Linked DNA regions of Macaca fascicularis. Each later gene encodes a partner of the first gene's protein in a complex. Links are inferred from orthologs where the notes say so. Each region holds a gene or a part of one and is shown on either strand. Other genes may lie near its edges.

The links.
Region 2: the proteins of LTK (region 1) and ALKAL1 are in contact, whole or in part, in a crystal structure (PDB 7NX0), measured with the Homo sapiens proteins. The link is inferred for Macaca fascicularis from reciprocal best matches to the Homo sapiens genes LTK and ALKAL1. Residues at the interface, in NP_002335.2 of Homo sapiens: Tyr124, His140, Phe143, Ala250, Ser251, Pro252, Glu253, Leu359, Phe360, Leu361, Gln362, Leu364, Ala365, Val366, Glu368, Glu372, Glu374, Arg376; in NP_997296.1 of Homo sapiens: His93, Arg96, Leu97, Asn100, Thr101, Arg102, Glu103, Arg112, Arg115, Leu116, Arg119, Leu120, Ser123.

What each region holds. Positions count from the first base shown.
Region 1 is NC_088381.1:18,073,724-18,078,004, forward strand, and holds the start of LTK (leukocyte tyrosine kinase receptor), read right to left. Parts: upstream 2,818-4,281; 5' UTR 2,673-2,817; coding exon 2,630-2,672; intron 2,084-2,629; coding exon 1,940-2,083; intron 1,842-1,939; coding exon 1,670-1,841; intron 1,245-1,669; coding exon 1,094-1,244; intron 942-1,093; coding exon 795-941; exon of another isoform or gene 572-794; coding exon 415-571; intron 339-414; coding exon 156-338; intron 1-155. UniProt on the Homo sapiens protein: Receptor with a tyrosine-protein kinase activity. Following activation by ALKAL1 or ALKAL2 ligands at the cell surface, transduces an extracellular signal into an intracellular response.
Region 2 is NC_088382.1:62,478,016-62,481,581, forward strand, and holds part of ALKAL1 (ALK and LTK ligand 1), read right to left. Parts: intron 3,357-3,566; coding exon 3,303-3,356; intron 799-3,302; coding exon 718-798; intron 1-717. UniProt on the Homo sapiens protein: Cytokine that acts as a physiological ligand for receptor tyrosine kinase LTK, leading to its activation. Monomeric ALKAL1 binds to LTK, leading to LTK homodimerization and activation.

The DNA.
Region 1 (4,281 bases):
TCCTTTTCTAAGAGCTCCTGCTTTGCCTGGAGCTGCTGAGAAGGGCTTAATGCCTCTCCCACACCTATCCTCCTGAGGGCTCCGGCCTGTACTGAGTTTCTAACATCACCTCACCCTCGGGCCTGCTCAGGTGCCCTCTCCAACGGTGCACCTACCCCGATAGCCGCCGCCGCCTCCGCCCGCAGTGCAGGCCCCGCCGCCGCCCCCGAAGCCGCCAGCCGCGGCCCAACCAAGGGTCGCCCAAGCCTCGGAGCAGCCCTGGCCGCCCTCCGCCCCCTCCTGCAGTGAGCGGCCGGCCTGCGGAGAGGGAGCCCGCGACGTCCAGCCGCCCCCACCACCTGCAGAGTGACAGCAGGAAGGTTGGCAGCCACACGGGGAGCACGCCCGCCTCTCCCCACAGCCCCGCGCCCTCACCTGCCGCCCCGCCTGTCCCGCCGCTTCCGGGCGCCTCCGAGCGGTTCTCCAGTTTCTCGGGGGCGGCCTGAGTCCGGCCTCGGTCCCGCGGCCTCAGGTAGGCCCGACCGCCGCCTCCGGCCGCCACCAGCAGCGGTTCCAGCTCTCCGGCGCGCACCTGTGGGACCAGCGGCGTGTTCCAGGACGCGCCCTCCAGCCGTCCAGGGGCACTGCCACTGGGCGAGGGCTCCCGCCCCGGAGGCCCGGATAAGGGCAGGGGCCCCCAGCCCAGCCCAGCTCAGGTATAGGGGGACCCCAACGGACGGACGGAGCGCGGGTGCGTGCGCGACCCTGGGGAGAGGATTAGGACCCCCACGCTGAGCGCTGAAGGGAGCACGTACCCGGAAAACGTAGGTGGCGCCCCCGCCACCCCCGCCGCCTCCCGCCCAGCGCCGCGACCCTGGGACCTCTTCGCTCCCATCCATCGCCGCGTGCTCTTCAACAGCTCGAGACTCCCCGAGGCAGACGAGCTGGCTCTCCGGGCTACCCTGCGGGCAGCGGGGGCGGGAATCGGCGGGGCCCGGGAGTCTCCCCTCGCTGTGCTGGTGACCCGGCACCGAGGAAAGCACGCTCCCCAGGCCCCCAGGCAGCCCTCGCCCCGCGGCGCCGGCGCCGCCCCATCCCCACTGGCTGCGCTCACTCCGGGACAGGCGTCCTCTCCCTGCTGCCCCACCAGGATGTACAGCGACTCCCCGAGACCGAGGGAGAAGATTGCTGAGACGAAGACGCCATGCGCCCGCGACAGGTGGTTCTTGGCGCCTTTGCCGCCCGCGGCTCCGTAGGCTGAGATCCTGCGGGGAGCGGTCGGTGAGTCCCCGGCCCTCGGTGCTAACAGAAGTTGGCAACAGAGAAGGCTCCAGAATTATTTTTTATCTGAGGGACTTGGAGGCTGCAATCGACTCTGACGGGATGGAAAGGGCAGGTTTGCACACCAAAAGTTCAGATATTACACTTATTTCAGGAGGGTTCGTGGAAATGTGGGGAGGCTCAAGTACCCCTTGGCGCCGCCCTGGTTGGGGGCCTTCCACTCGGTGTAAGAGGGTCCGGGTCAGGGCTAACTCGGTGGCAACTATTGCCACCTTGAAGGGCACTCAAGGTGGACCTCTCTGCGGAATACTCCGAGACACAAGGCGGTGCGCAAGTAGCCTTCGTTCCCCTGACGGTGAAACCTCCAACTAGCAGGTCACTGCCCACCCTACCCCCTCCCCGCACTTACAGATACTGGCCAGGGCCCGGCACGCGCCACAGCTGCACGCCTCTCAGCTGCCCGGCGGCCCCCACGGTCACCACCACGCTGGTCCCCGCGTAGGCCCCATCACATTGTGTCTGTGTGGGCCCATGCCGGCCGCTGGCCCCGCAGGTAGAAAACAGCCAGGACCCCTCGGTGCCTGAGAGCAAGGAGTGAGGCAAGGGTCGTCGAGCCCCTGGCTGGGCCAGAGGGGTCTGGTGTGGTGAGCGGAAGAGGAAGGAGGCGCCTAAAGCTCACCCAGAGAATTCAGCTGGGAGGCTGGCTCCAAGATGCTAGGCGGGGCGCTGACTTTCGGGTCCTGGGGGCCGGGACTTGCCAGCGGCAGGGGTGAGGACGGCTGAAAAGGCTCCTGGGACCCCGGGCTAGAGCAGAGAATGGCGCCTGAAAGGTGTTGGGAGAGGCGCAGGACATTAAGGCGGGTGGAAATAGGAAATAAAAGAAAGAGAGAACCCCGCAACAGCTGCCCTTGCGGTCGCGGCCACACCCCTCACCCTGCCCAGCCCCCCTCTCAGCCTGGAAGCCACTACCCGACTCCGGTCGCAGAAGCCCCGCGGGTGCTCGCTGATCGCTCTACCAGTTTCTCTCCTCGACCGCCCTTCCCAGAGAATAACTTAGGGGCTGCACTGAATTTGGTCCTGCAGCCTCTCCAATACTTTCCTCGACTTAGATTGGTTGCCCCGCCCCAAGGCAGTGCTGAGACCCCAAAGAATATTCCTCCTTCCCAAGCTGCGTGATCCAGACTCTGGGATTCGCACTACTTGGCACTTCTCCGCCCGCACTCCAGAAGCACGGACCGGAGAAATGTGGTTGTGAGAGTTCGAGGCCTCTGGAGGAACCACCGACACCTGGCCTGTTGCGACCGGCCACCCACAAGCCTAGGAAGGTGCCTTTGGCTGGACGGTCCCCTGACCGCCAGACAGCACTTACCCACAGCTCTGAACCACACCAGCAGCCGGCCCCAGCGTCCCATCCCTGTTAGGTCCACCCGGCAACAACAGCCCTTGCGGTCGTGGCCACACCCCTGTCAACCTGAAGTTGACAGCTCACTTGGCCACCGCAGCCCTGGCCGCCACTTACAGGGGTGTGCTGCGGCCGGCGAGACACTCCCTGGACCTAAAGCCGGCCTGGCCACGCCCACCTCAGACCCCAGGACGCCAGAGGAGGAAAGGGAGGGGCGTGTGGGCAGCGAGGTCCCTACGCTTCCGGGAGGAGCCTTAAGGAGTCCCCACCCAGGGGCTCTAGTCTCCAGCCGTCAGATGTGCCGCAGCCTGCTGGGAGCTGGGGTAGGTTTGAGGCCGGAGAGGAGGTGCCCCACTCTTAAAGCGGGAGCTACACCTCGGACACCAGGTGGGGGCTTCCAGGTTCCTGAGGACAGGAGCGGCGGAGTGTGCACTTCATTTGTGGTAGTGGTGGTGGTGGGTGTGTGGCACATGTCATCACACGTGGGAAGTACTCTCTAAACTGCCCCAAGTAAGGCCTCATCACCTGCCATTACTTGTGCCTTTCAGTGGTGCCTTTGTGACTGCAAGGCTGAACCTCCCTGCTACCCCCAGAAACCTGGATCTCTGTGTTTGCCTAATATAATTCCGTTGCCCGTGTTACCCCTGTGCACAGCTTCTCACTGTGATGGGGTAAAAGACTGGACCAGACGTTAGAAGATCTGAGTGCTTTTAGTAGCACTGAAGGACGATAGATGATAGGTAGACAGATCGATCGATCGATTGATCTTGAGCACTAGTACTAGCACCTCTGGTAAATGGGTGATGTAGCACAGGCCACAATTGCTCTGAGAGTTTCCCCACCACCTGCAAAATCATATGAAGGGAAATTGCTCTGTAAGCTACAAGGTACCCTACAAATGTGGGAGCCACTCCTTTCAGGTAGTTTTGTGTCTTGAGTCTTCGATCATTTGCTTAAAATTCTAACTTGAGGGCCGGGTGCAGTGGCTCATGCCTATAATCCTAGCACTTTGGGAGGCCGAGGCAGGCAGATCACCTGAGGTCAGAAGTTTGAGACTAGATAGACCAACATGGCAAAACCCCATCTCTACTAAAAATACAAAATTAGCCAGGCGTGGTAGTGCACGCCTGTAATCCCAGCTACTCGGGAGGCTGAGGCAGAGAATTGCTTGAACCCGGAAGGCGGAGGTTGCAGTGAGCCAAGATTGCACCACTGCACTCCAGCCTGGGCGACATAGTGAGACTCCGTCTCAACAAAACAAACAAAAAACAAAAAAACCTCCTGGTCTCTATTCCCTAGTTATCACTATGAGATCACGGAATTTACCTTGCAAGGCCTCTTTAGGCCACTGCTCTTCAAATTGTGGTTGTGTAGTTGGTTCTGAATATCAGCATCAGTATCACCTGGGAACTTGTTAGAAATGCAGATTCTTGGGTTTCACCCCAGACGTACTGAATCAGCAGCTTCTGGTGGTAGGGCCCAGTTATCCTTTTTAAAATACCATCCAGGTGATTTTTGTCACAAAGTTTGAGAATCATTGGTATTTGCTGATACAGTAGTTGCTTAATAAAACCTATTGGGGCCGTGCGCCGTGGCTCACGTTTGTAATCCCAGCACTT
Region 2 (3,566 bases), on another chromosome or scaffold:
AAACATTATAACAAATACAACTTAATATGCTGAGTAAAAGTCAATACTCCTCAAGATGAGCAATCTAGTTAAAAAGAAACAAAATGCTTAGAATTCATGTTCTTTAAAAGGAAAGTTGAGGCTTAGAAAGGAATTTAGAAACAGCAAACGGAGTTACCACACATAGTCATAATTTTGGCACTTTAAATGATAGTGCTTAAATATTATGTTTAGAATTATTATTAACTTCAGTAACTTAAGTATCCAAAAGAATTCATTATAGCAACTTTTACATGCTATCATTACTCAGAAAAATCCAGCATCATTATATAAATGATGTGATATAAAAAATATTTACTTTAAAATAACTTAGGAAAAAATTTTTACTTAGAGTTCGCAGTCATCTCATTTTTTTTTTTCATTTATTTGAGACAGCACCCTATTTATGTCAAAGAATTTGAATCATGATAAAATGTTTAAATCCTAACAAACACTTTGGTCTTTAAGGAAATCTGGCTATTATCAGATTTGAATAGATTCCCAATTAGAATATGGTTTCATTCCTTACAGCAACAGTACACACAAACCTTAGGTACTGTCAGTGTTATAAATCAGTGTTATAAATAGAATGTCAATGGTTAGTCTACTTCTTCCCATCCACAGACATTTGAAGTTTAAAATTACACACATTTATTGTTGGATAATTTTTTTAAAAAAAAACCCACCCAAGTTACTTACAAGCTGGTGTTGAGCACTCCCTGGTATTGTAATAGAGTCGGTGGAAATGTTTGCTGCATTCTGGTGAAAATGTGACTGGCCCTAGAGCACAGGAAAAGAATGCTTATTATAAACATAGGCATGTTTTCCAAACAAATTTCCTAGCACTTTATGAGTGGACATAATATAACAGCACTTTACATACTTCCATGCCCTTAAAAGAACATGCCTGAGAGCTCTTCCCCCACCCAGGCTCTGTGGGAGGTAGAGTTGTGGTCTATGAAAAATAATCTAAATTCATTCCACATTCTCAACATCTCACATAATGGAATCTTCACATGTAGTACAACTATGTAGAAAAATTAAAAGGAAAAAGTTCTGGACAGAAAATAAAAAGACTGTAGAGAGCAAATTGAGTGCATGAGAAGTACAAAAAATAAGTATCTTTGGTTTCTACTTTCTGTTTTTATCTAAAGCAATTAATGTTTACATGCCAAGACATTTATTCCATTTTCTAATTATAGTAATTTGTGTCGTATTAGTGTCTAGGATAATTGTAAAATGGAATGGGCAGGGCCTTGAGAAGTCCTTTGTCTCTCCCTTTAAATCCAAGGTAGGGCCCATCAAGACTTTCATCCCGGATGGGGAGTAGTGGCTCACGTCTGCAATCCCAGCACTTTGGGAGGCCAAGGCAGGAGGATCACTTGAGCTCAGGAGTTCAAGAACAGCCTAAGCACCATAGTGAGACCCTGTCTCTGCAAAAAATAAAAATAAAAAATTAGCCAGGCATGGCAGCACACACCTGTAGTCCCAGTTCAGTTACTGTAGAGGCTGAGGCAGAAGGATCCTTGAGCCCAGGAGTTGGAGGCTACAGTGAGCTATGACTGCACCACTGCACTCCAGCCTGAGCAACAGAGTAAGACCCTATCTCTTAAAAAAAAAAAAAAAAAAAAAAAACACACAGAACAACAACAACAACAAAATGTTCATCCCTCCGTCCCTCTGGTGTCTGCTTCTCGTGGGGTCCACAGTCATGTCACTAACAGCTGCCTCAAAAGGCTCAACATCCCCACACATCCCTGTGCCCTGCAGGTGCATCTCCACTTGATCCTGAGGACCATCCTTTCTGTTAATAAACAGGTAGGGCCCTTGGACTTGACTAAGTGGGCAAACCACATCTTTCCCACATCACAGGCCTGAGGTGTAAAAGAAAAAAAAGTAGCTGGGATGACTGGGAACAGAGAGGTAATGCCAATAGTAAATATGGGGGTGTACTGTTCACAATAATTCAGTGATTTGCTAGAAATTGGGGCATAGGATGATGTGCAAATGATTCACAAAGTTGATAGGAAGAACAAAACAGTGTCATGGGACAGTATTTATCTGTGCTTACGATGTGGCAGGTGGGCCTGGTGCAGTGGCTCACAACTATAATCCCAATGCTTTGGGAGGCCAAGGCAGGAGGATCACTTGAGCTAGGAGTTCAAGACCAACCTGGGCAACATAGTGAGACCCCATCTCTAAAGAAAATAAAAAATTAGCTGGGTGTGATGGCACAGTAGTCTCAGCTACTTCGGAGGCTGAGGTGGGAGGATCCCTTGAGCCTATTTGTTCAAGGCTGCAGTGAGCCATGATCTCACCACTGAACTCCAACCTGAGTGATGGAATCAGACCCTGTCTCAAAAATAAAAAATTTTTGACCTGGCGCGGTGGCTCACACTTGGAGGCCGAAGCGGGCGGATCGCTTAGGCCAGGAGTTTGACACCAGCCTGACCAACATGGTGAAACCCCATCTCTACTAAAAATACAAAAAAGTAGCCAGGCATGGTGGTGCATGCCTGTAATCCCAGCTATTTGGGAGGCTGAGGCAGGAGAATTGCTTGAACCGGGAGGCGGAGGTTGCAGTGAGCCGAGATCACGCCACTGCACACCAGCCTGGGCAACAAGAGCGAAACTCTGTCTCAGAAAATAATAATAATAATTAATAAACAAATATATTTTTAAAAGATGTAGTATATGAAAGTCTGTCCCTCCCTATTCAAAACATTTCTATTGCCCCCTCTCTCCCTACCCCTCACCAGACTGGGGAACATAGTCTGAATTCCCCAGCATGCCATTTAAGATTATCCACAACGTGACTCCAAGCTACCTTTCCAGCCATATACTTGACCAGGGCCACATACGCCCCACATACCTAAGCCCACCCACAGTCCATGCATACCTGTCCTTGCCTAAACCACACCCTGTGCCTTCATGGCTTACTCAATGCACTCCTTCTGAAGAGAAGGTCTCTCTCACCACGGGAAAGCCTTATTCATCCCTTAAAGCCCACCTTAAATACTGTGTCTACTACAAGCCTTTCTTGGTAGTTCTTGGTCACATTATTCACTTCCTGTGTATCCTTAAAAAGTGGTTCATACTTCTATTACTTATTAAGGGCTGGTTTACATTACAGTTAACACAAGTTAGTAGCATCCGTCCATCTCCCCAACTGGACCATGAGTCACTTACAGACATTTATTTTCATATTCCTAGTGCCTGACATAGTAACCTGTACACATTCTTTTTATTTAGTTAATAGAATCACTGATAAATTTTGTACTTACCTGTGAAATGCTTTATGAATTTGTCTTTTAAGTTAGAATCTCTTGGGAATATTTCTGAAAAGAAAAAAAACCTTCAGAATTTCTTGAATGCATTTCTCCCATTTAAAAATATCCTTAATACTTTGGGAGGCCGAGATGGGTGGATCACGAGGTCAGGAGATCGAGACCTTCCTGGCTAACACGGTGAAACCCCATCTCTACTAAAATATACAAAAAACTAGCCCGGCAAGGTGGCGGGCGCCTGCAGTCCCAGTTACCCCGAAG